Linked DNA regions of Tamandua tetradactyla. The protein of the gene in region 1 interacts with the protein of each later gene in a pairwise test. Links are inferred from orthologs where the notes say so. Each region holds a gene or a part of one and is shown in the gene's direction. Other genes may lie near its edges.

The links.
Region 2: the proteins of CLNS1A (region 1) and SNRPD2 interact in binary tests that used the Homo sapiens proteins (3 or more experiments, as listed by UniProt). The link is inferred for Tamandua tetradactyla from reciprocal best matches to the Homo sapiens genes CLNS1A and SNRPD2.

The regions. Positions count from the first base shown.
Region 1 is NC_135334.1:67,192,527-67,209,126, forward strand, and holds the start of CLNS1A (methylosome subunit pICln), read left to right. Parts: upstream 1-8,643; 5' UTR 8,644-8,747; coding exon 8,748-8,872; exon of another isoform or gene 8,873-8,913; intron 8,914-16,600. UniProt on the Homo sapiens protein: Involved in both the assembly of spliceosomal snRNPs and the methylation of Sm proteins.
Region 2 is NC_135342.1:15,331,586-15,348,038, forward strand, and holds SNRPD2 (small nuclear ribonucleoprotein Sm D2), read left to right. Parts: upstream 1-9,490; 5' UTR 9,491-9,619; coding exon 9,620-9,621; intron 9,622-11,031; coding exon 11,032-11,211; intron 11,212-13,390; coding exon 13,391-13,565; 3' UTR 13,566-13,663; downstream 13,664-16,453. Other genes in the region: QPCTL (glutaminyl-peptide cyclotransferase-like protein), read right to left, coding at 2,759-2,904, 4,313-4,429, 4,882-4,981, 5,083-5,235, 6,994-7,275, 7,948-8,091, 8,595-8,801. UniProt on the Homo sapiens protein: Plays a role in pre-mRNA splicing as a core component of the spliceosomal U1, U2, U4 and U5 small nuclear ribonucleoproteins (snRNPs), the building blocks of the spliceosome.

The DNA.
Region 1 (16,600 bases):
AGAAGGCACAATACTCTCTGTTCTAGTTTGCTAGCTGCCAGAATACAACACACCAGAGATGGATTGGCTTTCAATAAAAGCGGATTTATTTAGTTAATGTACAGTTCTTCAAAGGAAAGGCAGCTAACTTTCAACTGAGGTTCTTTCTTATGTGGGAAGGCACAGGGTGATCTCTGCTGGCCTGATCTCCAGGTCTCTGGGTTCCAACAACTTTCCCCAGGGTGATTTCTTTCTGCATCTCCAAGGGCCTGGGCTGAGCTGCGAGTGCTGAAATGAGGTATGCTAAGCTGCTTGGGCTGTGCTACTGTTGTGCTGTCTCATTTAAGCACCAGCCAAGTAAATCAAACATCATTCATTGCAGCAGGCATGCCTTCTAGCGGACTGCAGGTGTAATCAGCCACAGATGAGGTTCACATGCCATTGGTTCATGTCCACAGCAATAGAACTAGGCACCTTCACCTGGCCAAGCTGGCAAATGAATCTAACTACTACAGTGTAGTTGTATTAGTTAGGGTTCTCTAGAGAAACAGAATCAACAGGAAATATTCATAAATAGAAAATTTATAAAAGTGCCTCACGTAACCGTGGGAACGTAGAGTCCAAAATCTGTAGGGCAGGCTGTGAAGCTGATGATTCCGATGAAGGGTCTGGACGAACTCCACAGGAGAGGCTCACCTGCCGAAGCAGGAAGGGAACCCATCTCTTCTGAATCCTCTTTAAAAGGCTTCCAGTGATTAGATTAAGCATCATCATTAAAGAAGACACGCCCCTTGGCTGATTATAAATAGAATCAGCTGTGGTTGTAGCTGACTGCTCATGATTTAATTCTGTGAAATGTCCTCATAGCAAAAGACAGGCCAGCACTTGCCCAACCAGACAAACAGGTACTGCTATCTGGCCAAGTTTACACATGAACTTGACCATGACACTCTCCATCTCCACTGTTACCATTAATATAAGCAATGTTTATAAAATTCATACCTAATACACAATTTAGGATAGTCGTGTCTACTTAAAAGTGTTCTTTGTTAAGCAGTTATTGTCTGGATATTGCTTCATGAATATGTATATTTTCAAAATATGAAAGTTAAATTGCAATAATGTTTGAAGATTATAAAATGATGGTGTATCTTGTTTCTAATAACATAAACAATTTTGTCTTTCCTTTATCTTATTAGGGAGTTATATGTCAGTGTTTTAAAATGCCACACTTCTTGGGCAGGCCACGGTGGCTGAGTAGGCAGAGTTTTTGCCCGCCATGCCAGAGACCCAGTTCGATTCCCAGTGCCTGCCCATGCGAAAAAAGAAAAAGCCATATTTTTTATAGATGCATAACCTGGTATTTAGAGATAAGAACAAAGCCTATCAGGTCAGGATTAAGGAATACATTGCCTGTATTTTAGAACTTCACCTACTCTTTGAGACCAAAGGAAGGAAGGTTTATTTTGTCTAGAACCTAAATTCTCAGGAGCACATAATCTAACTCAACCTGTCTGGATAGGTCATTTAAACAATCCAAACACAGGGAGCCCAGAATAAACATGAGAGCCTTCATTCCTATATGGCTTAATGTAATGCCTGGCTATATCCCAGAGTATATTAAGCAGATAATCAAGAAGTATTGGCAAAGTCCCTTGAGGGATAGGAGAAACAATATGGAACTATTAAACTTTACCACCAGGGAAACCCCAGATACTATGCTAAACATTAGGGACACCCAAATTAATAGGCCAGTCATGGATTTTTTAAAAAAAGTTTTAAACCCTTTTTTTATTGTATAGTATAACATATATACAAAGCAAAGAAATAAAAAAGCAATAGTTTTCAAAGCACTCTTCAACAAGTAGTTACAGGACAGATTCCAGAATTTGTCATGGGCTACCATACGATCCTCTCAAATTTTTCCTTCTAGCTGCTCCAGAATATAGGAAGCTAGAAGGAATAAATATATATTTTTTCATTTTTACATGTCTTTTATAAATTTTTTTTATCATCACAGTTGACGTTTTTTCCTTTGTGTGTGTGTGTGTGAAAAATAACATATATAAATAAAAGCAATAAATTTCAAAGCACAGCACCACAATTAGTTGTACAACATATTTCAGAGTTTGACATGGGTTCCAATTCCACAATTTTAGGTTGTTGCTTCTAGCTGCTGTAAAATACATGGGGGTGGGGAGTGGGGGGGGCAAGCCCTTGATCTTCAGCTTTGCTCTTGTGAAACTTATGTATATAGTGGAAAAGTTTAGCCTTACCTATAGGTATGCCTAAAGAGTCACCTCTAGAGGACCTCTTTTGTTGCTGAAATGTGGCCTCAGTCTAAGCCCAACTCTGTAAGTGAAACCATTGACCCCTCCCCCCCCCATATGTGGAACATGACATCCAGGGGTGAAAGTCTCCCTGGCAGTGTGGAAGATGACTCCCAGGGATGAGTCTGGCCCTGGTACTATGGGATCAACAATGCCATTCTGACCAAAAGGGGAAAAAGAAGTGTAACAAATAAGACATCAGTGGTTGAGAGAATTCAAATAGAGTTGAGAGGCTACTCTGGAAGTCACTCTTACACAAGCCTCAGTTAGACATTGCCACTATCATAACTTGCCAAACCCCAACCAAAACCATTCCTGCCAATCCTAAAGGGTAGCTAGGGTGCTATATAAAATTCTACAAAGGTTCCAGGCACTAGGGTAACTTTCCAGAAACCTGCAACTTCCAGATGGGTTCCCAGACCAGACAAGTCCTGAAATGCAGAGGGGCCAGCCTTTCCAGAATATCAACTAGTTCCATCCCTCTGTCATATATTATCCACAGCCCCTTCCAACATGAAAAGTTAGAATGGCCATAGCCCAAGTACCCCTAAAGAGTGAGAGAAAAATCAAAGGTGATGGTGGAGTTATACAGAGAAGTTCGGGTTTAACAAATGAGTATGAGTGTTGAATCAGTATACTGATACCTCTTTTAGTCTCCAGTACCTTAGAGCAGCTAGAAATAAAAACTTAAAATTGTGGAATTGTAACCCTACCAGATTTTTAAATCTGTTCTTGACAACTAATTGTTACAATGTACTTTGAAATTCATTGCTTTTTTGTACATGCTACTTTTCACAAAAATTAAAAAAAGAAAAGGAAGAGTATAATAGAGAGGATAGGATTTAACAAATGAATATGATTGCTGAATCAATATATTGATACTTCTTTTGGTCTCCAGTGTCTTGGAGGAGCTAGAAGAAAAAATGAAAAATTGTGGAACTGTAACCCATACCAAACTTTAAAATCTGTCAAACAACTACTTGCTAAAATGTACTTGGACTTTTTCACAACAGGTTTGCTACCAGAACATAGGTGTCATGAAAACCATTGCTATATCTTAAAACAAAATGGGAAAGGAAAAGACTCATATCAACATTGTTGCTTTTGGCCACACAGATTCAGGCAAATCCATCACAACTGGCCATCTGATCTACAAATGTGGTGGAATCGACAAAAGAACGACTGAAAAATTTGAGAAGGAAGCTGCTGAGATGGTAAAGAGGTCCTTCAAGTACGCCTGGGTCTTGGATAAACTAAAAGTTGAATGTGAGCATAGTATCACCATTGATGTCTTCCTGTGGAAATTTGAGATCAGCAAGTATTATGTGACCATCACTGATGCCCCCAGGACACAGAGACTTTATTAAAAACATGATTACAGGCACAGCTCAGGCTGACTGTCCTGTTCTGATTGTTGTTGCTGGTGTTGATGAATATAAAGCTGGTATGTTCAAGAATGGGCAGACCCGAAAGCATGCCCTTCTGGCTTACACACTGGGTGTGAAACAACTAATAGTTGGTGTTAAAATGGATTCCACTGAACCACCTTACAGTCAGAAGAGATATGAGGAAATTGTTAAGGAAGTAAGCACCTACATTAAGAATATTGGCTGCAACCCTGACAGAGTAGCATTTGTGCCAATTTCGGGTTGGAATGGTGACAACATGCTGGAGACAAGTGTTAATTCGCCTTGGTTCAAGGGATGGAATGTCACTCATAAGGATGGCAATGCCAGTGGAACCATGCTGCTTGAAGCTCTGGATTGCCTCCTGCCACCTACTTGTCCAACTGACAAGCTCTTGATTCTGCCTCTTCAGGATGTCTACAAAACTGGTGGTATTGGTAATTCACACTGTGCCTGTGGGCCAAGTGGAGACCGGTATTCTCAAACCAGGCATGGTAGACACCTTTGCTCCAATAAATGTTATAACTGAAGTCAAGTCTGTTGAAATGCACCATGACTCTCTTCCTGGGGACAATGTGGGCTTCAATGTCAAGAACATGTCTGTAAAAGATGTTCATCGTGGCAATGTGGCTGGTGACAGCAAAAATGACCCACCAATGGAAGCAGCTGGCTTCACTGCTCAGATGATTATCCTGAACCATCCCAGCCAGATCAGTGCTGGCTATGCACCTGAACTGGATTGTTACACCGCTCACATTGTTTGCAAGTTTACTGAGCCGAAGAAGATTAATCACTGTTCTGGCAAGAAGCTGGAAGATGGCTCCAAATTCCTGAAATCTGGTGATCCTGCCATCATTGATATGGTTCCTGGAAAGCCCATATGCGTTCTTACTTTCTCTGACTATCCTCCTCTGTGTCATTTTGCTTTTCATGATATGACACAGACAATTGCTGTGGGTGTCATCAAGGCAGTGGACAAGAAGGTTGCTGGAGCTGGCAAGGTCACCAAGTCTGCCCAGAAAGCTCAGAAAGCTAAATGAATATTACCCATAACACCTGCCACCCCAGTCTTAATCAGTGGTGGAAAAATGGTCTCAGAACTGTTTATCTCAATTGGCCATTTAAGTTTCATTGTAAAAGAATGATGAATGATAATGACGTATGGTAAAACCTTCAGAAGGAAAGGAACGTTTTATGGACCATTTGTTTTCGTGTGGCAGTTTTAAGTTATTGGTTTTTAAAATCAGTACTTATTAAATGGAAACAATGACCAAAAATCTGTCACAGAATTTTAAGACCTAAACAAAGTTTAATGAGAAACCTGTGTCTTCTTTTGAAAGGTCAACCTTCAACAGCTTAGGCTAAAGACTCAACCTATTTCTGGTGTTCATTTCTGCTGAAATTTGATAGTTCAGGATAAAGTTTTGTTAGGACAGAAACTAAAGTGTTTTTTTCCACCTGTAAGGGGAGGGATCATAACTTAAACTGTGTGTTCTTGTTTTGTTTTGTTTTGTTTTTTACATGGGCAGGCACTGGGAATCGAGCCCGGGTCTCTGGCATGGCAGATGAGAACTCTACCACTCAGCCACCATCACACTGCCCTTAAGCTGTTTTAAGTACTTACTAAAATACAGTGGTTTCTTGGTTGCAATCTTGGCTAGTATGGAAAAGCACAGGGTAATTTGTAATGTTTATAAGCTTCGTTAGGCCAACTTCTGTAATGAAGGCCATATGTTGCATATAGAATACTTTTGTGTAGTTATGTCTCTATCAATTATTGAGTAAATGAGTTTATTGTATCTAGATTCTAGGAAGAATAAAAGGTGCTGGAAGTTGAAAAAAATTCACTTGGAAATGTATTGCTTTTTTGTATATATGGTATTTTTCACAATGTTCTAGTTTGCAAGCTGCCGAAATGCGATATACCAGAAACGGAATGGCTTTTTAAAAATGGGAATTTATTAAGTTGTAAGTTTTAAGTTGCAAGTTTACAGTTCTAAAGCTATGAAAATATCCAAATTACAGCAAAGATATAGAAATATCCAATCTAAGGTATTCAGAGAAAGATACCTTGGTTCAAGAAGGCCGATGACGTTCAGGGTTTCTTTGTCACCTGGAAAGGCACACGGTAAACATGGCGACATCTGTCAGCTGCCTCTCCAGGCTCTTGTTACATGAAGCTCCCCAAAGGGTGCTTTTCATCTCCAAAGGTTTCTGCCTTTGTGGGCTCTCATGGTTCTTGTGGCTCTCAAACTTTTTTCCAAAAATGTTTCCTCTTTTAAAGGATTCCAGTAAACTAATCAAGACCCATCTGGAATGGGTGGAGTCACATCTCCCTCTAATCAAAGGTAGATACTCACAATTGGGCAGGACACATCTCCATGGAGATAATCTAATCATGTTTCCAACGTGCAATATTGAATAGGGATTAAAAGAAATGGTTGCCTCCACAAGATGGATCAGGATTAAAATATGGCTTTTCTAGGGTACATAACCCTTTCAAACTAGCACATACAGTTTAAAAAGTGCTTGAAAAACGCCATGTTGTATGATATAGGTATAAATAAATTCTTTAAAAGAGAAAAAAAAAGAAAATTACAAGTAGTGGAGAGGATGTGCAAATATAGGAACACTCATCCATTGTACATAGGATGTAAAATGGTGCTACTGTGGAAAACAGTTTGATGGTTCCCCAAAAAACTAAACATCGAACTACCATATGATCCAGCAATCCCACTTCTAGGTTGTTTGCTGGCTGCCGGAATGTAACACACCAGAGATGGATTTGCTTTTAATAAAAGGGGATTTATTTCATTAGTTCTTCAGAGGAAAGGCAGCTAACTTTCATCTGAGGTTCTTTCTTACGTGGGAAGGCACAGGACGATCTCTGCTGGCCTTCTCTCCAGGCTTCTGGGTTCCAACAACTTTCCCCAGGGTGAGTCCTTTCTGCATCTCCAAAGGCCTGGGCTGAGCTGTGAGTGCTGAGATGAGGTTGTGCTACGTTGTGCTCTCTCATTTAAGCATCAGCCAATTAAATAAAAAATTCATTCATTGCAACAGCCATGTCTCCTAGCCGACTGCAGATGTAATCAGCAACAGATGAGGTTCAGGTACCATTGGCTCATGTCCACAGAAACAGAACTAGGTGCCTTCACCTGGCCAAACTGACAACTGAATATAACTACCACATAGGTATACACCCTAGATAACTGAAAGTAGGGAGTTAGATAAATATCTGTGACTAGTGTTCATAATAGCATTATTCATAATAACCAAAAGGCAGAAGCCACCCAAATGTCCATCAGCAGATGAATGGATAAACAAAATGTGGCATATACACACAATGGAATATTACTCAGCCTTAAAAAGGAATGTACCACACTACAGAAGAAAATCTATACTCCTTAACCAGATATTCAAAATCCTGCACAAGCTGCCCAGGGCAACCTCTTCTGTACCCATTCTTGGGAAAATACAGACAAATACTTGAGTAGCAGGCGGAGCCTGAAAACGCAAAACCTTAAACGAGACCATGAGGAAAGAGCAAAGTAGACGCCAGAGCTCCGGTAAGCAGGCGGGTAAAAAGCATGTCCGAAGCTCGGGAGAAAGAGATATTAGACTAACAGTCTTCCCCCAGCACAACCATGCCTCAAAAGACGGGGAGCACGTGCAGCACCTCCCAGCAGCCACCGAGGCTCCTCGATGTCCGCAGGAGGAAGGATGAAGACGCGCACGAGGCCAGCGCTAATCCTTTTCAAGGATAAGAACTATGCATAAAGGTGGAGGACAGAGGCGTACAGGAACATATTTTATGTACACTGTTCAAGTTAAGCTTTAAAATTAAGTTAAGCGATTATTATAGATTTAGGACATTTAAGCACCGTGGTATCGACAAAGAAAACAATATGCAAACTCTATAAAGACAGAAAGCAGAATACAGGTTACCAGGGGTCAGGGCAATGGCGATGGAAAGTTAATGCAAAATAAATGTAGGGTTTCTGTTTGGGGTAAAGGGAAATTTATAGTAATGGATGGCGGTGAGGGTACTACAACATTGTGAACGTGATTACTCCCACTAGGTGAAAAAACATTACAATTGGTGGATCTGGATATCTGGGGGTGGGGGTGGTATGCTGGACTTCTCTATATGAGGTTTGTATTACTTTTGCATCTGTCCTGTAAGTTTTTAATTATTTCAACGTAAAAGAAAGTTTATAAAAGGAGCGAAGGAACCAGTAACACAAAAATGTGCCTGGCACATAACACTCGGCTAAATTTAGCTACTATTATGGTTACTTTTAAAGTTTTAATTGCTCTTAATTATTTACTCTTTAGTGCCTAAGTAAGAAATAAATTAAGAGTTCCAAATCTAGGGGCTTAATTCTTTTCCTTTCAGCGGCCCATCTCCTTACTAACATAGGCTGTTCTTCATCCGGAGTCAGTTACCTCTTCTCTCTGCGCTGGCCGGCCCTCCATTGACGTGGGGATAGTCGTTCTGCACGAGGGTGGTTTCAGGACCTACACTGATTTCTGGCGCTTGGCTGCGTACAGCTGAGATGTGAACAGTCGCGAGTGAAGCAAGAACAAGTGAGAAGCGCCCTAAACCGAGTTTAGGGGCTTTCTGACCTCTCAAGCGTGTGGTCTCTGCTCCCAAAGCACTCCGTGTCTCAGGTCTTAGTTTCCTCTTTTGTAGAGAAAAGGAATACTAATCTTTCTTGTGCCTCCTCTCTAAAGAATGTTGCAGTAAGGATCTAGAAATAGGATGTCATCGAGAAAGCTTTATTACCCTAAGCCTAAAGCCTCAGAAAGGGCGAGAAGTAAAGGGGGCGTCCGGGGACACGCCCATCACGGTCTTCGCAGACCTCCGGGTTTCCTAGAACTTCTCGTCTCTATGGTCAAAAACGTTGAAATTTCCGCCCGTCTAAGTTGCTCTTCCGATGTTAATGCCACCACTTCCGGGGCAGGACGCGGTGAGATAGATTTGTTATCGCCTTCGCTTCCTCCGGCTTGTGTGTTGCTATTCCCTGCTTCAATGAATTTCCTCAAAAGTGTTCCGCCACCCGGCCCCACCGATGGCCTTCGGCACCAACTGCCAGATACCGAAGCTGTATTAGACGGGAAAGGTTTGGGCACCGGCACCCTTTACATCGCTGAGAGGTGGGATCCTTGTTCCCGAGCGCGTCTTCATCCTTCCTCCTGCGGACATCGAGGAGCGTGGGTGATACCTGACCTCGGTGGCTGCTGGGAGGTGCAGCACGTGGTCCCCGTCATTTCGGGGATGCTTGTGCTGGGGAAAGACTGTTAGTCTAATATCTCTTTCTCCCGAGCTTCGGACATGCTTTTTACCCGCCTGCTTACCGGAGCTCTGGCGTCTACTTTGCTCTTTCCTCATGGTCTCGTTTAAGGTTTTGCGTTTTCAGGCTCCGCCTGCTACTCAAGGATATGTCTGTGTTTTCCAATGAACGGGTATAGAAGAGGTTGCCCTGGGCAGCTTGTGCAGGATTTTGAATATCTGGTTAAGGAGTATAGATTTTCTTCTGTGGTGTGGTTGGGGAAGGAACACTCCCAAACCCACGCAAGGCGGGGTCGTATCTGAAGGGACCCGACTCCCACGTCTGGGTCCCAGAAGAGATTGCTTCTTTCATTGGCCACCTGGCACACCGTGCTTTCACATCAGCCTTATCTTAAATCTTAAATATTTGCTTGTTTTGAGTCTTGTCTTATTTTAAAACAAACAGAAGCCAAAAAAAAAAAAAACAAAAAAAAAAAACCTAAGCACAGTAATGTCGCAAAATGTGAGTACTTTAAATGTGTCCTAGCAGTTGTGATGTTACTGCTCCATTTTATGCACTCATTCCAATTTCATTTTTAATGGTTTGGAAGCCATTTTTGTAATAAATAAATGTTTATGCTATTCAGTTACTGTAGCATGCTATTCTGGATTAATAAAAACAATTTAGTATTACAGATAAAAAACACGGGTAAGTGTTAAAGATATAATGAGGCAGTTCATGATGAATAGTTAGGTGACAGGTACAGATAGTGCTGAGGAGGGGGAGGGGTTCAGAGTAGAGAAGAATCATAGGGATAAAGCAGGTTGTAGAACAAGGTCTTTAAATTTGAACTAGATGTCAGTACTTCAAACGGTCTGTGACACTCTGAAGTTATGTGTAGAATTTGTATATGTGCATTTTTTTTTTCTGATTTCTGGCATGAGATTCTTAAGGAGGTCAGTGACTCCAACAGGCTTAAGTAGGACCTATCAATAAGGAAGGATGAGCTGGAGAGAAAGGGTGATTAGTATTGCAGGGAGAGATAGGGAAATGCCAACTAACAGGAGGAAGTTTTATGGACCTTCAGGTAGAAAGCAAATTCTGAGTTGTTGATTGCAACATGCAGATGGACCCTCAGGCAGATATCTGCTCAGTAGGCCCAGAACTACACACATACACTCTTTTATTTAAAGGATCTTATGATACCATGTTTGTGTGGAAAGGTTCAGTCCCATCTTTTCCATCCCTTCCTACTATTCTTTATGTTCTTTAAAATAAGAAAGAAATGGAAATCCTGGTGAATTAGGCAACCTTTATTATTGCTTGGCCTGATCTTTACTGTAAACACAGTTTTACTCTGCCAGCTACTATTTTCCCTTCCCTCTTGGATATATAAAAGGTGGTGTTTAAATAGCAAACTATGTTTACCATATTTTTCTTTGGTAATCTTCTCAGGAACTTTGATTTTGGTCACTTCCATGCTTTCCAACTCAAACACTAAGTCCTCCTTCCTGCTATGCATCCGTTATTTGAGTCTTTCAAACTTCTAAATTCATTACCCATATCCCTGGTCCAGATTTCCATACATTTCAAGCTTCTCTCCACCTTTACCCCTTCCTATCCCTTTCCCATATGATTGTAGCCCTTTATTTAGGCTGTAGAGGCTTTTAATTCTCTTACCTTCCAGGCAGCTCTTTCTCAGTCATTTTTTGCTGGTTTCTTCCACATCTCTCTGACTTCTAAATGTTAAGGTGCCCAAGTCTCAGTCCTTACTCAAAATAAAACCAGAGACCTCACAATGGCCTGCAGGGTCCTGCATGATCTAACTCTGTCTCCCCCAGCCTCTCTGACCTTATCTACTAATTTCCTCTTCATTTGTTGTGCTCCAGACATACTGGTTCCTTGATTTTTTCTTGAAATTGTCATGCATGCTCTCACCAAGGTCACTTTCCACCAAGCATGCTCCTATTTTGGTGCCTTTGCACTTAATCTTTTCTGTCTGAGAAATCCCCCTAAATGTCCACATAGTTTGCTCCTATACTTTTTCAGGTCTTATAAGTGAACTGTTCCCTTAGTCACTCTATATAAATTAGCTTCCCATTTCCATCTCTAGAATTCTTTATCTCCCTTACCTGCTTTATTTTTTTTTCTATAGTACTTAACGACTATCAGGGATATACAAGTATCCTTTACTATCAAAATCTGTTGGGTTCTTGGACAGTTTTCTGAAAAGTTTTTTCCATGAATTTCCTCCCATACTAGCTCTGAGATGAGAATTTTTAGCAAAACTGACTGAAATATAAGTTTTCTAAAATCAGTTTCTTTATGAATTTTCAGCCAAATTGGCTCAGTAGAGTTTCATTGAATTTGGCTTAAATCAGCAGTTTTCTAAAAGTCAGCTTTCTATGTGATTTTTAAAAAATCTTCCTATATCTAATAAGCATGTCAAACATAACATTACAGAACCAAATTCCTGTTTTCTTTAAAACTTGATCCTCCTTTAGTTTTCACTATCTTCCTTTCAGTTATTGAGATCAGAAACCTTGAAGTTATTCTTAACTCATCTCTTTCTTTCAGACTCACATAGCCAATCTGCCGAAAATTCTGTTGGTTCTGTCTTCACAATATATCCAGAATTTGATGGTTTCCCAGAAGTTTAACTGCTGGAGTGGTGACCAAGGTAGATGTGCCTTCATAGAACTTATGGTTTAGAGCAGGGGTTCTTCATCCTTGCATGTCTGGAAACCTGTTAATTCAAGAGATCCATGAATTAGGATGGGAAAAAATTTTCATCATTATTTTAAGTAAACTGTAACCCAATATAACATTTTTTCAATTATGAATGTAAGCAGCAAACTGCAGTAGTGTTAGCAGTGTTCATCTGTGACTGTCAATAATAGAAATAATTATTTTCAATTCAAATTAGAATTGTTGTAGATACCTTGAAATATTATTTATGTTTGTCACTGCTTTGCAAGTGTGGTACTTAGTAGACCTGGTGCTAGATCTTGTTATTTAATGCAGTAATAAAGAAGAACATATATAACTATGTGACAAATTCATTTTTATATCAGTATTTTGATAATTGTGTTTAAATATAATTGGTTTCCTTTGTAATATTATGTATTTTATGCACTTAAAAATATTATTCTAAAGCAGTATCCTTAGGCTCTCTTAGACTTCCAAAAGAGTCTGTATTAGTTTTATGTATGTATGTATGTATGCATGCATGCATGCAGGCAGGCAGGCACGCAGTGGAAATTGAACTTGGTTCTCCGGCATAGCATGTGTTAGTTTTATATGGCTACAAATTTAGCAATACAGATTTATTATCTCATAGTGTCTGGAGGTCAGAAGCCTGGCACAGCATGGCTGGATTTTCTGCTTAGGGTCTTACCTAGCCAAAAGATATCATCCAGGCTGGGTATTTTTCCGGATGTTCAGGGGTTAAAATATACCTCCAAGCTCATTCAGATTATGACAGAATTCAATTCCTTGTGGTTGTAGGACTGAGGTCCTATATGTGGTCCTCTTCATCTTCAAACCAACATGAGCATACTGAATCCTTTCCAGCCCTCAAATCTCTCTGACCTCCTCTTCTACTGCAACTCTTGTCTACAGTCAGGAAGTTCTGTGCTTTTTCAGAGCTCATGTGATTACATTGGGCCCAGCCGTATAATTTGAGATCTGCAAAATCCCTTTTGACATGTAAAGTAGCATATTCATAGACATGATACCAGGGGCCCAAATTCTGCCTACCACAGAATCCAGGGCACAAAACAAAATGTAGAGAACCTTTGCTTTAAAAGGAAAATTTAAACAGTGAGCGAAGGTTAGACTTTTGACCAGTCATTGACATAGGGAATATGGAAAGAAAATCAAGTTTGGGGTGAGAGAAGGATAATGAGTTTAGTTTGAACATGTGATGTGTAGAAACATTAGATGTATGAGTCTGAATCTTGGGAGAGGGTATACATCTATATTAAGAAGTGAGTCATGGAATAAGAGACTTGAGGAAAAAGAGGTTGGAGGAGTGATCAAATAAAGTAGAATCTGAAGAGTATCGTTAGGTATTGAGAAGAAGCTCTTGGGTGATATTTGAGAAAAAAGTTTAAGTGGTGAAGAGTGCCATGTAGATATAACCATAGCCCTTTCACAATCCTTTTTGTCTGTAGTATCTCTGTATAGTGGCTCTTCTTTCTAAAATGTAACTACTTTTTGGGAAAGCCCTATACTGGTTTTTTCATCTTGAAAAATATCAAGCCTAAAGCAAAGTTACAAGCGTTATTCATTAATACCCATATACCTGTCAAAAAATTCATCAGTTGTTAACATTTTGCCACATTTCTTTTTCTCTGAGCTGTTGAGAGTTAGTAGCATATATCTTGCCATTATCACCCATGGGTACTTCAGCATGTATCTCCTAAGAACAAGGACATTCTTCTGTTTAACCATAATACAACTATTACACTCAGGAAGTACAATTCTTTTTAAGTTCTTATTTGTTAAAACAAAATTCCTTGTTATTTCACTAGCAGAAAATATATTTTTCTTAAAATATGCATCCAAAAAAGAATATAAGTACTATTTAAAGAATTGTAACTAAACCATCCACCATTGAGGTTAAAAATAGAACATTACTAGTACCTTAAACACTGCTGTCATTCCCCTTTACCCACTGTTAGCCTTACCTTCTTTGTCTTCTTCCCTTTTTTGTTCTTTTCCACCTAACATTTCCAAGTTGTAGTAGAATCAATGTCTCAACAAATGGGAAGGCTTCCTAGAGGAGGTGAGAAAATGATGATAAACAGTTAGCTAAGTTAATGAGATGGGGTCAAGGGAAATGTTCCCATTAGAAGAAACAGGTGCTCAGAGGTAAGGGTAATAAACAGTTTTGTGTGTGCCAGGATAGATACACATGCATACATATATACACATACATACACACATATACAGTGTGTGTGTATGCATAGTCTAGTAGTTCTTGCGTTTGAGGAAATGACACAGAAAGAATGATAAGATATAATAAAGTGGAGAGGTAGCAAGCCACGTTTATGACGTTTGATTTTGGCCTTTAGGCATTTTGTTTTGTTTTGGCATAGACAGGTACTGGGAATTGAACCTGGTCTCCAGCATGGCAGGTGAGAGTCTGCCACTGAGCCACCATCTCACCGCCCACGCTTTAGGCTTTTGGAAAACTGTTTTAGAATTTTAGGCAGAGGGACAGAGTCAGATTTGGTTTTAGGTGGTTTCTCAGATGCATATTCAGGCTTATTTTCAGAGCTTAGTTTTCATAGGAAGTCGACTTTTTCCGAATAAGGGAATAGAAGCATAAATAATTCAAAGTGAGTAATTTAAAACAGTTATGACCTAGAAGTACTGCTTTTCTGTATCTATTCCAAAATTAATTTTAAACCAAGTAATAAGCCAACCCAAATTCAAGACTTCTCTTACCTTCCTGTTCTGTTCCTCACCCTATACCAGGAATAAAGAACTTGTATAAGTTCATTAGAGTTTAGCAAAATATTTCTTTACTGGCTTTCTAATTTTCGTGTTTCCATTTTGTGACTCATGGTTTCTTTGAGACTAGGTATAGTTAAGTAGATACTTGGGTTTGGAAGGATGTTTCTTCTAGAATATATGCAAAATTGTAAATAAAAATCAGAACTTAACTGATAAGAATAGGTGTTACTTTTAAGTGTGGAATTTGCTTCTGTCTTATACAGTGCATAATCCACTTCTGTGTACAGAATTATGAGAGCGCCATAGGAAATGCTGTGCTGAGATAGCATTTACATCCTGTCAGCAGTAAGGAACTAGAGTAGTTATGTGCTTTGTAAAGCAAAGGCTCTGATTTCTGGTTCTGGATATTTGAAATGATTTTTGGACACCTGAAATTGAAATGTGCTCCTTCTGAATTGTGATAATGCTAGTCAATTTTTGAGGCAGGAAAAAGGCTGTTTATTGACCTGAATTAATAAGGGACTTGGACTATTTCTGTGATACACAAACACTTTCATCTACATATGAAGAGGAAAGCAGGACTGGAAGAGAGCATCCATCCACAGCAGTATAATTACAATAGTAAAATCATGTTTGTTTGGGAGTGCATTCTGGAAAGTCATTTCTAGAACTTTTATCACCTTCAGCTCCTTAAGGTTTATCACTTAAGCCTCAGGTTTTCTTTTTAAAATAAACATTATGGATGTAAGACTTTCCAAATAACAGTTCGTAATTTTCTCCTTTCATCTTGTTTTTTTTTTAAGTACACTATCAATAAATTGTAGTATATTTACAGAGCTGTACAACCATCACCACAATCTAGTTCTGCCTTTGCCTTTTATAATACTTTTGATAACTGAGAGTCATGTGTTATACACTTGTATAAGACATTGATTTCCTGTAGGGGGACTCTTAGTTTCCTAGGTTGCTCAGAGAAGATACCATGAAATGGGTCGGCTTAAACCATGGGAATTTATTAGCATACAGTTTGAGGCTGAGAAAGTGTCCAAATCAAGGCATCATCGAGGCAGTGCTTTCTTTCAAAAAACCAGCTGCCATCGATCCTTGGCTCTTCTGCCATATGGCAAGGCACATGGTGGTGTCTGCTGGTCTCTCCCTTCTCTTCTGGGTTTCCTTGGCTTTCTCTTTGTGTGTGCAAAATTTCATTCTCTAAATTTCATTCTATTGGAGTCTCTAAAGGACTCCAATAACAGGATTAAGACCTATTCAGATTGAGGCAGATCATACCTTAACTGAAGTAGTCTCCTCAGAATCCTATTTACATTTAGTTCATACCCACAGGAATGGATAATTCAAGAACGTGCTTTTTTGATGTATACATAGCTTCAAACTGTCACAAGGACTGAGGTGAAAGTCAGCCTCCCCTTACGATGAATGTGAATGTCTGAGAAAAGTGTCATTATTCCTGTCTGGGGGAATCCTACTTCCTTTGTATTTTTTGCTTTTTCCTGGTTAAAAGTTAGACAACCAGGCCAGTTAGGATTATACAGAAAATAGAATATGAGGGTGTTATTTGTATTGTTTTTAAAATAACCACTTTATTGAGATAATTAGTAGTAACTAGTTACCACTAATGGGTACAGAGTTTCTTTGGTGGGTATAAATGTCCTTAGATTGATTGTGGTGATGGTTGCACAACCCTGTGAATATATTAGAAATCAAAGATTTGTACACTTTAAATGGGAGAATTGTATGACACGTGAATAATTAGTTGCTGTGTTCTATTAGCTTTTATTGCATTAACATTTTTTGAGTGTGACTTCTTTAGGATCTTTTGCTTACCTTTTTTTTGTTGTTGTTGTTAAGTGGACAGTTCCAGATGGGTGAAGTATTACCAAAAAATTAACCAGCCCCACTCAAACTCAGCGTACTGATTTTATTTTGGTGATGTTTGTTATAGACAAATGCACTAAGATAATTGCATTTGACCACATTAGAGGGGACTGGGTTTCTTTTAAAGCTGCAGAATAATTGAAGGGCTTTATAGTCTACCTTTTTTTTTTTGCATGAGAAGGCACCAGGAATCGAACCCGGGTCTCAGGCATGGCGGGCCAGAACTCTGCCTACTGAGCCACCGTGGCCTGCCCCA
Region 2 (16,453 bases), on another chromosome or scaffold:
AACAAGATACTGAAAATATCTGCAGGGATCCCAAAACTAACAAGTGGTTAGGCAAACGTGAATGAGAATAACCCACAAATAAACTTCTAGAAATGAAAAACAAAGGTAAAACTAAATGGCTGGGTTAAACAGTATTATATAAGACACTGAAGAATGATATATTGAACTAGAAGCTAGGAAAGAAAAAATCCACAGTGCAGCACAGAGACAAAAACAAACAAAAGCCCAGAAAGAAAAGATATGGAGGGTAAAGTAAGATGGTCTAACATATATTTGCCACTCCAGAATCAGAAGAGAATGAGATGAAGAATATTAGAGATGATGTTGAGAATTCTAAGCAAATAAAAGATGCCAGTGAGCCCCAGTGAGTCATCAGCAGGATAAATAAAAAGAAGCATATACCTAGACATGTGGTAGGGAAAGTCCTCAGCTATGTGACCTTGGGCAACTGTCTTTACTTTACTTCTCTGAGGCTCAGTTTCTTTTTTTTTTTTCCCCAAGGCTCAGTTTCTTGATTTATTGCACAAGTGATATGTAAAGATATCACATCCTGAGCACTCAACAGTTTATCAAACACATCTAGTGGCATCTTCAGTGTGAAGCTAGGGGAACCCCAGTTTGGGATATGAATGGGAGCTGCATGGCCTGCTGGCTATGGGACTTGGTGACACACTGTGCCAAGCACCAGCAGCCTCATCTGGAATCCAAAGGAATTTAAGGATGTGAGCACAAAATGTGCATAAAGCCCCTTATCCAGTTCCTGGCACATGGCACACTCAACCATGGTGCCACACGGGGAGGGAGGTGTAGAGGGACTGAAATATAGCTGGGCACATTGCTTCCCTTCTCTGCCACACAGGGACAATGGCCTTTTCCTCCCTCCTGGGGTGACCATGAATCTAAGGTGAGATGGTGTCCTGTAAGAGTCTGGCCCCATGCCTGCTTACAGGACATGAATACTATGTCCCTGTGGTTACCAGACCCTTCTGCCACCCTGGCTGTAGATATCACTGTCAGCTTCCCTTTCTGAACCCTGGAATTCTGCTAAATCTTCCTCTGGAAGCCATTAGTTTTTCCCTTCCAGCTCAACCCCAATCTATCTTGCAGTCAGTTTAAAAGTACCAGGAGCTGACTTCTTGTCAGCAAACTGTTCATCCAGCACAGGTGGGTTTTGGAAGGGAGGTAAGACCTGGGATTTAGGAACACAGCCGTGGGTGAAAACCTGGGCTCTGAAAACGGTGCCCAACTGCCAGCCGCTTCCCCGCACAATGGGAACGGAAGTTGGACCTACCTCAGGATTTGAAGGGGAGAATAAACGAGTTGATGCATGTAAAGTGCTTGTGGTGCCTGGCACATGGGAGGTGCCCAATAAGTGCCACCTACTATGGAAGAACCTGAATTAAGCACCTTCTGTTTTATCCCCTGGTTTGATATCCTGAGTTTCAGCCTTTGCATCCTGATGGGTTTCCTCTAGCTTTGAGCTGGCTCACAAGGCTGAAGCTCACCTTCACTGGTGAATTACCTCTCATCCAGGTGTCCCACTGCCTACCATATCTCCATCGATGTCACAAAACCAGCAGGGACTGAGCTCAGCATGGGCCTCTCCTAAGTCCTCCCTTTACCTAAAGTTTTTTGTTGAGTACGTTTGCCCTGCAGCTGTGAACACACCCAGCTGTGTCCCTAACAGTCCCAACTTTGCTCATGAAACTCCCTTGGGGCTTGTTACAGAGTCCCAGTCCCTCCCCAGAGTTCTCATACAGTAGGTCTGTAGGGGGGGTGGGGGTGGAGTAGAGGGTGGTCAGAACCTGGGAATCTGCAAATCAGGTAAGACTGGGAAGTACTTCAGGACTTCACTAGAGTTGCAGTTAGACCCATCGTAACACAAACCTATACTCACAGCTGAGAGGAAAACGATGGTCAGCCAAACCTTGGCCTAGCACACCATTCCTCCTATAAATGCTCGAACAGTCAAAACCCAGTGTTTCCCAAATTATGTTCTGAGGTACCTTAGTCCTATGAGGTGCTTCCCAGAGAAGCAGTTCCATGGTCCAATACTTTGGGAAAACACTGCATTCTCCATTCTCTCGAAGAATCTTTTGTGCGGTGAAGAAACGTGTTTACCATTATCTCACCCCACTTTGATCACTGATCCTTTTTTACATGTGATACTATTGCCACTAATTCTGCAGAATATGATTTGCAGAAACATGGGTTTATTGCCCATTGGGTCGGTCAGAATCTGTTTTTTTTTTCCCCAGATATTGCTTCCATCTCCTCTGTTCCTGGCTTTACAGGCAGCTCCTCTGTGGACCCCACTTGATATATCCATATGGGAGTTAGGTTTGCACTGGGTGCAGCACTGAGTCTGCCATTCTGGAGAACGAAGTGACATGAAAACACAAGCCGTAAGCAATCCAGTTAGCTGGTGGTGGTCCAGGCACCAGTGTACAATTACCCAATTCTAGAAAGGCAGACAGCATCTGATCCCCACCAAACTTCAGACCAAGGGTTCCCCTTGGGGCAAGGGGCCAAGCAAGCCTTAGTCCTTTAGTCCTTGCCCCCACTAGTGGTCTCTTCCAAGTCTAGGAAGGGCAGCTGCTTGAGACAAAGGAAAGAGGGTCTTCCATCCAATTGGAGCCAAAAGTCTAATAAAAACCCAGCACATCTGAAAGGTGCCCTGCCTGAGCGCCGCTGCCTCCAGGCACCTTCTGGGGGTTTCTTCAGAGCAGCTTCTCCCCAGCAGGGACCAGCTCGACAGCTAGAGCCCCAGATACTCGGCCAGGAAGACAGCAAAGATGCGGCTGAGGTTGTGCACAGTGGGCTTGTGGAGATTGGCCTCGGTGTCGGCAGATGTGTGCCAGACGGCGGGGAAGGGGATGGGGATGAGGTGCAGCACTGGGACCCCTGCCGGAGAAAGGAAATAGTGGTCAGGCTTTGCCGGTGCCGCCCCCCCCCCCCCCCCCCCGTTGACCTTGGAAACCTGGCCAGATAACCTTGCCACCTCTCCCACCACACACAATCGCCTTCTACATACAGAAGATGCACTGGTCTGGTGCTTTAAGAACTCTGATCAGTGGTCTGAAGTGTGTGAGGTTTCTTTTTTCTTTCTAAACCAGTATATTGTTTTCATAGCACATATTAGAGAAAATTAAACTCAAAACTTAATGGACTGTGGAGAAGTCAGAAGAAGGGAAAGGGTCCTTGGCCCTTCTCTTCTTTAATAGGTAATACTTATATAGACTACTTGCTCTATTCTAGGACCTGGTCTGAGGCTTTTCCTCTTGTGCTCTCTCCATACTCTATTTTATCCTTACAGCAATCCTTTTAGGGTGGTTCTATCATTGCCTGCATTTTACAGATGTGGCAACTGAGGCACAGAGAAGCCGAGAGAGTGCTCTGCCTAAAGTCCCACCTCTAGTAAGCATCAGAGTCAGGATCTGAATGCAGCAGGCCACCCCCAGGCTCCAGATTCTGGGCTCTTAGTCCCTGCACCACACAGGGATCCTATCCTCAGAGTACTTCCCTCTGCATTCATCTAGATTTGCTAAATGTTCTGTGTGCTGACTTGGGAAATGCTCGTTGAATGAATCAATAAAGAGGGCAGCATTGCACGGTATGCCTCTTTGTTGAATAAGTAATTTATAGAATAAGAATTTTTTCTATAATGTTTTTAGCCCTTTTTATGTACCCTACAATGTCCTAAATGAGCATTTTATATACCTGATCTCACTGAATCCTCATAACCTGTGATTTATGTATATGTGTCTGCAGGTATACAGATCTTCATTTTCCAGAAGATGGCTCTCTCTGGGCCCCCATTTGCTTTAGGTCAACCCAGAACTGTCCCTTTCTGAAGCCTACATTCTTAACCCTTCTACAAGATGTTTTCAACCGTGGCTGTGCACTGAGATCACCTGGGAGCTTTGTAAAAAATAATGCAGATGCCCGAGGTGGTAACTCAGTACATCTGAAATAGGTTTCGGCATTTTTCAAAGCTTCTTAGGCTATTCTGATCGACTGTCAGGACCTCAAAAGGCAAGAGCTGGAAGAAACTGTAATCATTAAGGTACAAATAGTAACAGCTTGTGTTCCTGGAGGTTTGCTCAGTGCCAGGCAGTGATACATTCGGTGTCCTCCACCTCCGAGGTAGGGATGGTTATAACTCCTATTTCATAGTTGAGGACTGACAGCCCATAAGTTCAGCAACTTGCCTCCAGTCCCCAGGGCTGGGAGGGGCTGGGGCCAGGTCCCACTTGTGGCTCCCTCAGACCTCAGACCCCACCCTCCACCCTCCAACCTCCCCAGCAGGTACCTCGGTGGAGGAAGGGCAGATGGTCATCTTCCACAGAGCTGGGGGGCTCCCCGGGCTGGAAGTACATCACTTCCTGGGGATGAGACTGCAGCAGGTTCAAACGGTGCAGGCGCTTCTCTGGAGGTGGCAGGGATTAGAGAGAAAGGGTGAGCACCTCCGGGGTCTACGGCTCCCCTGCTCACAAAGCAGAGGAGGGCAGGGGGCCAGTGGGAATGAATGCCAGGACACTTTACTGCAGGCTTGCTATGTTCTTGTCTCACTGAATCCCTCTGAGGCAAGGTGGGAGATACCCCTGTTATCATCACCATCGCCCCTACTTTATAGACAGGAAATTGAGTGCAGGGAGATGAAGCCATTAGGGCGATTTATACAGCCAGTGAGAGGCAGAACCAGGATATGAACCCTGGGCTGTGCAATCCCCGAGCCCCTGTTTTGTAATTGGACATGGCTGCTGTGGGATTGTTTTGTTTTTCTGCCCTAGTTCCTTCAAGGGAGAGAACAGAAGCCATTATTGGGGGACAGGCGCTCCCATATCCCAGGCCAGCGCCTGCCTCCCCCGTAGCCCTTACCAATGTTCCTCAGCCGATGGAACCAGCGGGCCGTGCGGGGAAAGTGACTGTAGAAGGTTGGGTTGGGGGCGCCCAGGAGATCAAGAAGCACAAAGAGCTCCTAGGGAGAGAGGCCGGGGCTGGAGGGGCCGGGTGCAAAGCCACCAACCCTGCCTCACCCTCTGCCTCCCTCACCGGAACCGGAGTGGGCCCTGGTCTTACGATAGCCTGGATCCTGGTGGGACCGGGACTGTGGGGTTCGGATGCCATGAGCTGGGCCAGGTGCCGGGACCCATAGAGGGAATCCTTGGGCCCCCACTCCTTCAAGGCCTCTTCGCCGTCCAGGAAGAGGAGCTGCAGGGTCACCGGGGCTGCCTGTAGGAGAAGGTATCAGCACCCACCCAGTGCCAGGTCCGCGGCCACAGCCCACCCATGCACCCTGTCCGCTCACAAAATTGAATAGGGCAGACTAGGTCTCCTCACTTGTAGAGCATGGTGGCCAAGGGTACCCGCTCTGAGTCAGACTGCCAGGGATTCAAATCCAGGCTCAGCTGCATATTAACAAAGCAGTCATGGACAAGTTACTGACTTCTCGAAGCCTCGCTTTCTTCACCTGGAAAATGGGGTAAATTCCTAGGGTAGGTTTTGAATCCAGGTCTTAGAACAGTGCCTGGTACATAGTGACTACAAAGGGTTGGCTCTGATTATTATTGTTATTCTTCAAGCTCAGTTTGGCAGACGAGCCAGACCCAATTATTCATTATATAATGAATAACTATACAAACAGTGGACTGCAGCTAGGACAAATGCTGCCAAGAACTACAGTGTCCTGAGAGCTCAGGCAGTGGGAGAGCAGGTTGGGAGAGAGGCCTGACCTGGGGAGGGTTCCTGGATCTGGGGCAAGGAGTTGTGCCCTGAAGGTGAGAGGGAGCTGGCCTAAAAAAAAGTGAATGGGGGAGCAGTGGGAAGAGAGTTCTGGGCAAAGAAATAGCACAGGGCAAGACTGGGCCCAGGGAAGGGGCCAGAGAGGTGTGAGAAGAGGCCAGAGGGATGGCAAGGGCCAACAAGTTCAGCTTGAGCTTTGTTATGGGGGCACTGGGGAGCCAAGGTAGGGATTCGAGCAGGGAAACAATGTGATGAGATCTGTGTTGTCATTCGTTCATTCTACACATCTGTACTGACGTCCTACTCTACATCAGGAGTTGTTCTAGGCCCAGGGAACAAAAGAAGTCAACTCCCTGCCCTCAGGGAGCTCACTCTTGTTGGGGTGATGCCAGGCACTGTTCTAAGACCTGGATTCAAAACCTACCCTAGGAATTCACACCATTTTCCAGGTGAAGAAAGTGAGGCTTCGAGAAGTCAATATGAAGTACAGGATGGTGACAGGGAGGGATTTTAGGATGTCTGGGAAGGCCTCTTTGAGGAGGTGATGATGGAACAGATCCCTGAATGAAGCGAGGGAGCTAGCCAGGAAGGTATGAGAAAAGCATGCTGCAGGTGCAAACTGGAGGGCAGAAGGCCAGGGCATAAGGTCCTATTCACTGCAATAGGAATGTATGCTGGTTACCCGCTACTGTAGGCTCACTGGGTTCCCAGGTCTCATTTAACCCCTATGAGTCGAGGCAGTAGCTATCCCAATTATCTCATCATGATGTTCATTTTACAGATGGGAAAACTGAGGCTCAGAGAGTTGAAGCCACTTAACTCAGGTTCACAGAGCTGGTAAGAAGCAGTACCAGGATTTGGACCCAGGGCTTTCTGATTCCAGAGCCCATTCTGTAATCACTATACTTGAACTGCGATCCTGGCAGCTAAAATAGCAACTGCAAAGGCCCTGAGGTAGGAGTGAACATCGTGGGTTTAGGGGAAACTGAGAAGGCCTGTGTGGCTACAGCAGAGTAAGTAATAGGTGAGGGTGGGAGATGAGATTGGAGAGGCAGCAAAGACTCTGGCTTATGCTCTGAGTGACACAGAAGCCATCAAGAGAAGGTTGGGACAGAGAAGGGACAGGCTCTGACATTCAGCAAGTGGGAGGACCCCTGTGTCCCTGTGCATGAAGGCAAGAAGACCGGAAGGATGATAAACACCCAGGCAAGTGAGGGTGGAGGCAGCCCACCCCACCCCCCTCCTCACCTGCTGCTTGGCCCTGCTAAGCTCCAGGTCAAGGGCCTCAGCCAGCTCTAGCAGCAGGGCACAGGGCACAGCCGAATCCGTAGCCCCCACAAAGGGGGCCAACTCAGATGGGAAGAGCTTTGAGTCATAATGGCAGGCGAGGGTGAGGTGGTGGGCAGCCCGTGGGTCCAGTGTGGCCACCACGTTGCCAAAGTCCACTGGCCCCAGGGGTGTTGAGGCTGTGAAGGGGTCCAGCTCCACATGCCAGTCTGCAGTCAGTGCTAGCAGCGAGGCCTCCAGGAACTAGTGGCAACAGAGAGGCGGGAGTGTGGGTCAGGGGAAGGCCATGACCTAAATCACGCAGAGCAGCCAGACCACCTCATATTCCCTTGAAACACATCTGCTGAGCACCTAGTGGGTGCCAGGTATGGGGCAACCCTACCTTTTGATACCAACAGGATTAATTACTGCCCACTCTTCAATACCAGACCCTATTCTATGTACTCTACAGAACTCTGTGGGGTAGGAACTGACATTGACCCCATTTTACATATGAGGAAACTGAGGCACAACAAAATAAGAGACTAGTTCAAGTTCACATTCCAAGCGGCTAAGCTGGGATTCGAACCCAGACCTGTATTCAGTGATGCCTTACTCTTTCTGGGAGGCAGTACTGGGATATTACAGAGCCAGCCTGCTTCGTTTCAACCCCCAGGACTACCACTTACTAGCTATGGAACTCGGGCCAAGTATATAATCTCTCTGGGCCTCAGTTTTCCCATCTGCATGTGAAGATTGTATTGGTGACCAACTCACTGAGCTGTTGCTTATGCTTTTGATGGGGACGGTACACAGGGCGTTTGAATCGACTCAGATCAGCCCCAGCTCTGCCCCTTAGCTGCTTTGTGATCTAGGGCGGAATGCTCAGTTCCCATTCCCGGGGCGAGTTGGGGACTGGGAGGTGGGGCCCTTTACCTTTCTGACTTGGAGATTGCCTGGGCTGCCCGGGGTTCGCACCACCAGCAGGGGGCGCAGATAGGTGTCCCAGAGACGCTGAGGGTCCAGCTGCCCCACCACCCTCCGCAATCCGGCTTCGGGAAGGTTTCCGATCAGCGGGGTCTTGAGAGGAAAAGAGGGGGTGGGGAAGACCAGCGCGTAAGTGCAGTCCCCACCGAGACCCTAACCCTGGAACCCTGGACATAAGGAGCTCCGGTTCCTCTTCATAATCCTTGGCTCCTCGTGAAAGACTTCTAGGATAAATCCTAGACTCAGGAATATCCCTCGAGGCCCATCTGGTCCAGCCCACCCTAATCCTGGGGGGCGGGGGGGGGGGGAATCAAGGCCCCGAAAGAGAAAGGGACTCTTCCAAAGAGATGACATTGGGATTAGAACCACGATCTCCCAACTCCCAGTCTTATCACTCGCGATCCTTCCTCTTAAGGGAGAACCACAGTTCAAGCCCGAAGCCCGATTCAGCTGGCAAGGGGCATTGGCTCGAATGACGGTGACGGCAGCACCTGCGGCTGCGGCCGGACGATACAGCCACGTCAACCCAAGATCCGAGGAAGGAGAGGCGGAGAATGCGGGGCCCCTGCCATGCCCCAACCCGCGCGGAGCCTCACCCGCAGCTCTCGGCCCAGCGTCGGCTCCCCAGGCCCGCTGTGCCAGCCGCTCCAGATGGTGTAGAAGGCCGAGCCCACGGCCAGCGCCAGCAGCAGGGGCAGCAGCTGCACCCGGGGCAGCAGGCGGCGCGTGGGAGGCGAGGGTGGCTCCAAGAGGCCGCGTTCCCCGAGCCGTAGCCGAGGCCGTCCGCGGCCGCCGGGACGCATGGCAGCTTTACCTGGCAAAGGGTCCAGGACCGCGAAGCTCGTTCAGGCCCAGCCAAGTCCCTTCCCACGGAACCACCGGACCAATGAGCATCAAGAGCGACTGCATCGTCCCACCCCCCGCAGGCAGTAAAGCCAATGGGAACTGCCGTTTTGAGGATGGGCCCCTTGAGGTTTTGGGGTCGGTTCCCTTTGGGCTGCACAACCCAAAAGGGATCGCGAAAGAGGTAGGCTCCGCCTCAGCAGAGGAGGAGAAGCCAACAGAAGAAGCGTTTGATCCTTGACAACATCCGCCCACCTAGAGGCAGGTCCACGCCCCCCCCGGGAGTTGGCTAAGAATTGGTTGCGCGGCGTGGAGGCCATCAACCGAACCGTAAAGGGAGTTTCCGGGAGGGCGGGAGGGCAAGAGGGCGGGGCCCACCCCTGAAGCCGGAAGCGGATTGGTCACGCGGAGGTCGCGCCTCCGAAAGCAGAGCTGGCGGGTATTTGGAATTGGCGTGTCGTTTTCCCCCTTCAATCTATCCTGTCCTACAATGAAATGAATTGACTCGGACCCCCATTATTTTTCTCTGTGTCGTCGAGACCATTTGCCCTTTAGAGCCCTGAATGGCCTCGAACTACTAAACAGGGTTTTAATCCCACCACTGCGCCCGGCGGACGGGGTTTGCTATGGCAACAGGCCACGCCCCTACCGCTGGTTCGCGCAGGCGCCCGTGGAAGTAGGTCGCAGGAAGCGGAAGTCCCGCCTCTCTCTCTTTCTGTCTGCGGAGGGAAACGCAACACGCCTGAGAAGGGAGAGGTTCCAGGACTCACCTACTATCATGTGAGGCCCGGCCCGGCCCGGTCTGGGCGGCGGGAGTGGGGTTGGGGGTACAAATTTGTCTGTTGGGAAGAGCCCTTTTCTGATAGCGAGCTGGGGGCGAAGGTAGAAGTTTTATGGGTAAAGTGGCGTATGTTCCTTCTGGCGAGTTTGAGGATGGGATTTGGGCCTTTTACTGATCATGAGTTCGGGAGAGGAAGCTGCCTTTTCAGATAACAGGCTAGGGACTTTGCCAGATAACTGGACTTGCTAAGATGAATTTTAAGGGGAAGCGATGTTACAGATAAAGGACCTGGGGAAAAGTAAGTGCCGACTTCAAGGAAAAACGATTTGAGGTAAAGGACTAATACTGGAAATTTGACTTTGGAAACAAATGGCTTTTCATGGATAATGAATCACAGGAGTGATTTCATTCATTTATTCCTTCAGCAGATATTATGGGGTGCTCATTGTGTATCAGGCACTGCTTTATACGCCTCAGTGAATAAAATAGAACCCCCACCCCGCAAAAAATTCCCTGTCTCAGTGCAGCTTCTGCGTAAGAAGGCAGGCAATAAATACAGTAAGCAAATAAAATTTAAATGATCAGGGCAGTGAATCAAGAAGCCGTAGAGGATGATAAGAACAATGGGGTATGCCAATTTTGAGAGAAAATAAATTTAATAACTAACACAGAAGACCACATTGGAAAGCTAACAGCAGAACAAAAATCTGAGACAAGTGGGGAAGCAAACCACACAGCTATTTGGGGGATTTCCAGACGGAGGAAAAAGCAAATGCAGAAGCCCTAAGATGAAAGTTAGGGGAATCTCTTCATGGATCACTCAAGAGACCATTGCAGCTGGAGCAGAATGAAAGAGGGGGCAGGTATAGGGCATTGTGAGCACTTTGGAGTTTATTGTTTACACTGAGATGGGAGCCACTGGAGGGTTTCGAAGAGTGACATGGTATAGTTTGTTGGGGACATGGGGAGATGCAGGAAAACCAGTAAGATCTCAGGAGGGCGATAATGGAATTTTAGGCCAGAGTAGTAACCATGGTAAGAAATGTTCAGATCCTGGATATGTTTTAGAGGCAGATGGCAGGATTTGGTGACAGGTTAGATGTAGGATGTGAGAACAAGGAGACAAGTTGACATTCGATTATTTTTCCCTGAGGTATGGAGTTGGGGAAGGCTGTGGATAGAGTGGGTTGGGTGGTTCAGTGGTCTGGAACTCAACCTGTGACATGCAAGGTTGGAAATGTCTGTTAGGGATCCAGGTAGTGATGCTAAGAGGGAGGAGAACTGGAGCCCTAAGCGGGAGAGTGGTTTAGTTGGAACAAGTTTGGGGGAGGTCACCAAGGACAAGACCATAACTACTCATCCTCCACCTCCAACCCCTCTCACTCACGGTCCTGTGCTTGCCCCCTCAGGAGCCTCCTCAACAAGCCCAAGAGTGAGATGACCCCAGAGGAACTACAGAAGCGGGAGGAGGAGGAATTTAACACAGGGCCCCTCTCCGTACTCACGCAGTCTGTCAAGAACAACACCCAAGTGCTCATCAACTGCCGTAACAACAAGAAGCTCCTGGGCCGTGTGAAGGCCTTTGACAGGTGAGCACCTGGGTCCTGGGAGGTGTTCTGTGCAGGCCTGGAGAAGCAGCCCCAGCTCCAGCTGGAGGAATCTGAAGACATGTGCATCTAAAACCCCCATAGTGTGGCTGTCTCTTGTTGCCCCTCCAGCTGTGCAGTACAGTGGTTATGGGCATGCACTCAGGAGCCAGCCCCCACCTAGGTTCCTGTCTCAGTTCTGCCTCTTAGCAGCCATGTGACCTTCATCACATGATTTCATCTCGTCAGCACAATGGCAATAATCATGGTGGTTGCAGAGAGTCAGTAGATTCAAACCAGTTTCTGCCATTTCCAAACTGTGACCTTGAATGAGTCCCTTCATGGCACTAAGCCTCTATTTGTACTCCAGAGACTAGAGATGATAGTAGTATTTCCCTCCTGGGTTTGTGGCAAGGATTCATGGTTAATATTTCTAAAATGCTTAAAGGAGGATCAGGCATATGGTTGGGTGCTTGATAAGTGGTGGTTTATATTTTTGTTATTCTTTTCTTTCTCTTTCTCTCTAGCTTTCTCCTCCTCTGACCCTCAGATCATCCTTCCCTTACCCAGCCTTCACCCCAATACACATTTGTACACCAACACACTCACACGTATATCCGGGGGATCCTTTGTAATGGTAGTTTTTGTTCGTGGACTTAAAAAACAAAAACAGCATTATTGAGACATAGTTGTATATGACAAAATTGTGATTTTCCACGCACTCTTCTGCCTCATTTCTCCCACTCGTCAACACCTAAGGGCAACACTATGAGTAACCTACCCCCACCCTCCAATCCCCTGGCCTTTATTTATTTGCTTATGTTACTTTCTTGCATGGGTAATACATACATGTGAGGCAAAAGTCAACAGCTACAAAGGATGCCTAGCCACCCTCCCCCAAGCCACCACCACAGCTCACTTCTTGGGTCGCCTCTCAGGGATGTTACTTGAAGATGACATCATACACATATGTGGGGTTTTAGCCTTTTTAAAATCACTGTTACTGTCCCACCACGCAGTTCTAGATCTCAGCTTTTTCAGTATTCATGAGATTAATATTAATTTAATATAATTAATTCATAAATGTTTCCATATTGGCACACTGCAGTTCTGCTTTTAACTTAATTTTTCCAAATTGGTAATATATTCACATGACTCCCCAAATAGTAAAGTTCCCATCCTGCCCATCCCCTATTTATCTAGGTCATCCACTGCCACCCTTCTCCAGATGTCTTCCCAGGGTTTCCAAATGTGAAGCAAACAGGTGGGCATTGCACCTGCTCATCCTCTGCCCTCTTTTCCTTCTAAAGATAATTTCCAAGCACACTATTCCCCACCTTGCCTTTTGCACTTAACAGTGTCTTCTGTAGCTTACTCCAGAGCAAGATACAAAGAGCTTCCTTGTTCAGTTCTTTTACTTTTTCTTTTTTCCTTACAACTTGAAAATATTTCCATCACGTGGATGAGTTTTGGCTTGGTTAAATTAGCAGCATCTTTAACAGTGGCCCTTTCCCCAGCTCCTTCAACCCTTTCCCCTACTTTATTTTTCCTTCACAGCAATGATTCAGCTGCTGACCGTATATCATAGATCTATTGGTTTACCTTTTTCTTCTTTTCCCCTTATGAGAATGCACACCCTACGAGGGCCAGAGTATTATTTTTTCCTCTTTTCCATATCCCTTGTGCTTGAAGCAGTGCATGTAACAAGTGCTCAGTGAACATTTGTTGAATGAACTTGTCTATTCTGTCTTTCACACATGCCCACCAGGCACCACAGAAACGGACAAAGCAGGACTGGAGTGGAGGGGTCACAGGTGGCCTCAAGCCCCAACCCCCCAGGAGCCTCAGGCCTCTAGAGAGAGGCAGCTCCTTTCTTGGCATCTGCAGACATACAAGTGGAATAATTTCTTTTTGCATTTTCCCTCTGCCAGGTTCTGTTCTAAGCACTTAGATAATTCTGTATTAACTCAGTTAATCTTCACAACAGTCCTGTGAGGTAGGTTTGATGATGGTCTCCGTCTTAGAGAAGAGGAAACTGAGGCACGGTCCTTGGCCCGAGTCCCAGCCTGGGGCCTGCTGAGGCAGGGTTGGAACCTGGAGGATGAGAGTCGTTCTGGGCAGAGTGTGGGCAGCCACAAGGCTCTCCCCTCACTCCCTGTGTGTCCCCACCTGCTCCCACCAGGCACTGCAACATGGTGCTGGAGAACGTGAAGGAGATGTGGACTGAAGTCCCGAAGAGCGGCAAGGGCAAGAAGAAATCCAAGCCGGTCAACAAGGACCGCTACATCTCCAAGATGTTCCTGCGCGGGGACTCCGTCATCGTGGTCCTGCGGAACCCGCTCATCGCTGGCAAGTAGGGGCCTCCTCCCCGCTGCCAACGCCTCCCTCTCCTGTCCTGCCATGACCTGCCCTCATGTAGAAAATAATAATAAAGTTCCTGTGTTTTTTTATTCTAGTGGCCGACTGTTCCCAGGGTTGGGAGTGGTGCCGGGCTTGGGTGTGGGGCTAAACCCTGGGGCCGGGACCGTTCCCCTACTGTGAAGTGAATGGGCAGGATGGAAATGGCCTCCCACTTCCAATGCAGGAGGAACTTCTGCACTTTTCTGTTTCAGTTTTTTCTAGCTTCTCATCGTTCTCTCCTTTCTCCCTGCCTTTCTCTCATTGAGTCTGCCTGGTTCCTTCTTTCAGTCTTTTTTTTTTTTTCCCATTTACCTATTCCACAAGCATCACCCGAGCACCTCTTTGGTGCCCAGTTCTGTGTTGCAATACTGGGGACACAGCAGTGCCCAAGAATGTCCTAGCCCTGCTCATAAACAGGAGGAACAGTTACATGTTTGGTGCAGTCAGGACCCAAATCCGGTGAGTGGTCATGGCTCGCTCCTGCTGAGCTATCAGCACCAGGCCCTGGGCTCAGCACTTGCCAGGTGCCCTCCCCACAACACTGAGGCAGGCTGTTCTAGTTTGCTAGCTGCCAGAATGCAATATACCAGAAACAGAATGGCTTTTAAAAAGGGAAATTTAATAAGTTGCTAGTTTACAGTTCTAAGGGCAAGAAAATATCCAATTAAACAAGTCTATAGAAATGTTCAATCTAAGGCATCCAGGGAAAGATAACTCAGTTCAAGAAGGTTGCTGAAGTTCAGGGTTTCTCTCTCAAGTGGAAGGGCACGTGGTGAACACAGAATTTCTCTCTCATCTGGAAAGGCACATGGCGAACACGGCATCATCTTCTAGCTTCTTCTGGCTTCCTGTTTTATGAAGCTCCCTGGGAGGCATTTTCCTTCCTGATCTCCAAAGGTCTCTGGCTTGTGGGCTCTCTGCTTCTTGTGGCTATGTCGTTCTTCTCTGCTCTCTCTGAATCTCCTTCGTTCTCCAAAATGTTTCATCTTTTATAGGACTCCAGAAACTTATCAAGACCCACCCAAATGGGTGGAGTCATGTCATCACCTAATCTAGTTTAACAACCACTCCTGATTGGGTTACATATCCAGGGAGATGGTCTAATTATAAATCCAAGCATACAGTATTGAATAGGGATTATTCTGCATTTATGAAATGGGATTTTGATTAAAACATGGCTTTTCTAGGGGACATACATCTTTTCAAACCAGCGCACAGGCACTGCTATTTATTGCCTCCATTTTCCAGGAGAAGAAACTGACGGAGAGGTGATGTTGCTTTCACAAAGGCACTGCAGCCTGTGAGTGGTGGAGCTGTGAGTCAAACCCACCTCGCTCCCAGGCCTGTGGCTTACCACCCCCACCCCGCTCCAAGCACTGCTGCCCCCTAAATGACAATTACCTTTGAGAGAAATGCTCTGATATACATGGGGAGATAGAAGAAGTAGAAAAGGGAGGCTTTATTGTGGGGAGGGATAAAGGAAGATCCCTGTCTTGCTCGGACTCACTCACCCCCACCCCCACCTTCTGCCTTCCTGCACTTCTGTCTCTTCTCCAAATAGGCAGTACAGGGGTCCACAGGCCTGAGGTCAAACACTTTCTTAGCTGCAGAAGTTGCAGGCTGAGTACCCTGTTGGCCTATCTGCTGCAGAGCTTTGGGGGTAAAGCAGGAGACCCTGCAGCAGGGAAAGATTATAAACATTCACTGAGGGGCCCACATATAATTGGAACAACCATTCTGTAGAGTAGGTACTAGAGTCTCCCCATTTTGCAGATGAGGCAACTGAGGCCCAGAGATGGTAAGTAACCAGTGTCACCCAGTTAGAAAATAATGGGGGTGCATTAAAACCCAGGAACCAGGCTCTCAATAGCAGTCTTTTTTTTTTTTTACATGGGCAGGCACCGGGAATCGAACCCAGGTCCTCCAGCATGGCAGGCAAGCGTCCCCACCTGCTGAGCCACCGTGGCCCGCCCTCAATAGCAGTCTTAACTTGGGTGCAGCCACGGTATCCTCACGTAAAATGGTGGCATGGTGGTATTGCAGTAGGGACCCCCCTGAGGATTGGATTATGTGCAGGAGCCGGGGCAGTCCAAGCCTTGGAGTGTTACAGTCCAGGGGTTGAGCCCCTGCCCCACTTCCTCCTAGTTGTGGGCTTGTTCTCACTGAGAAATGGAGATTGTTATCTGTCATGGTCAGGTTCATGTGTCAACTTGGCCAAGTGGTGGTACCTGTTTGTCTGGTTGGGCAAGTGCTGGCCTGTCTGTTGCTATAATAACTTTTCATAGAATTAAATCATGACCACTAGGCTACATCCACAGCTGATTCCGTTTGTAATCAGCCAAGGGGAGTGTCTTCTTTAATGAGTGATGCTTAATCTAATCACCGGAAGCCTTTTAAGAAGGATTCAGAAGAGACAGGCTCTCTTCCTGCTTCAGCCACCGAGCCTCTCCTGTGGAGTTTGTCCAGACCCTCCATCGGAATCGTCAGATTCACAACCTGCCCTCCAGATTTTGGACTCTACATTCACACAGTTACGTGAGACACATTTTTATAAATTTTATATTTATGAATATTTCCAGTTGATTCTGTTTCTCTAGAGAACCCTAACTAATACAGTATCCCTGCCTTGCCGGTTGGCAGCAGAGACCAGCTCTAGGCACCTGCTTGGCTGATTCTTAACTTCCCCACCTCCTCACCCCATCTGTTTTAATCACTAAAGCTACCAGAATGCAGCACACCAGAGATGGATCGGCTTTTATTAAGGAGATTTACTTAGTTACAAATGTATAGTTCTTCAGAGGAAAGGTAACAAGCTTTTGTCTGAGCTCCTTTGTCAACCGGAATG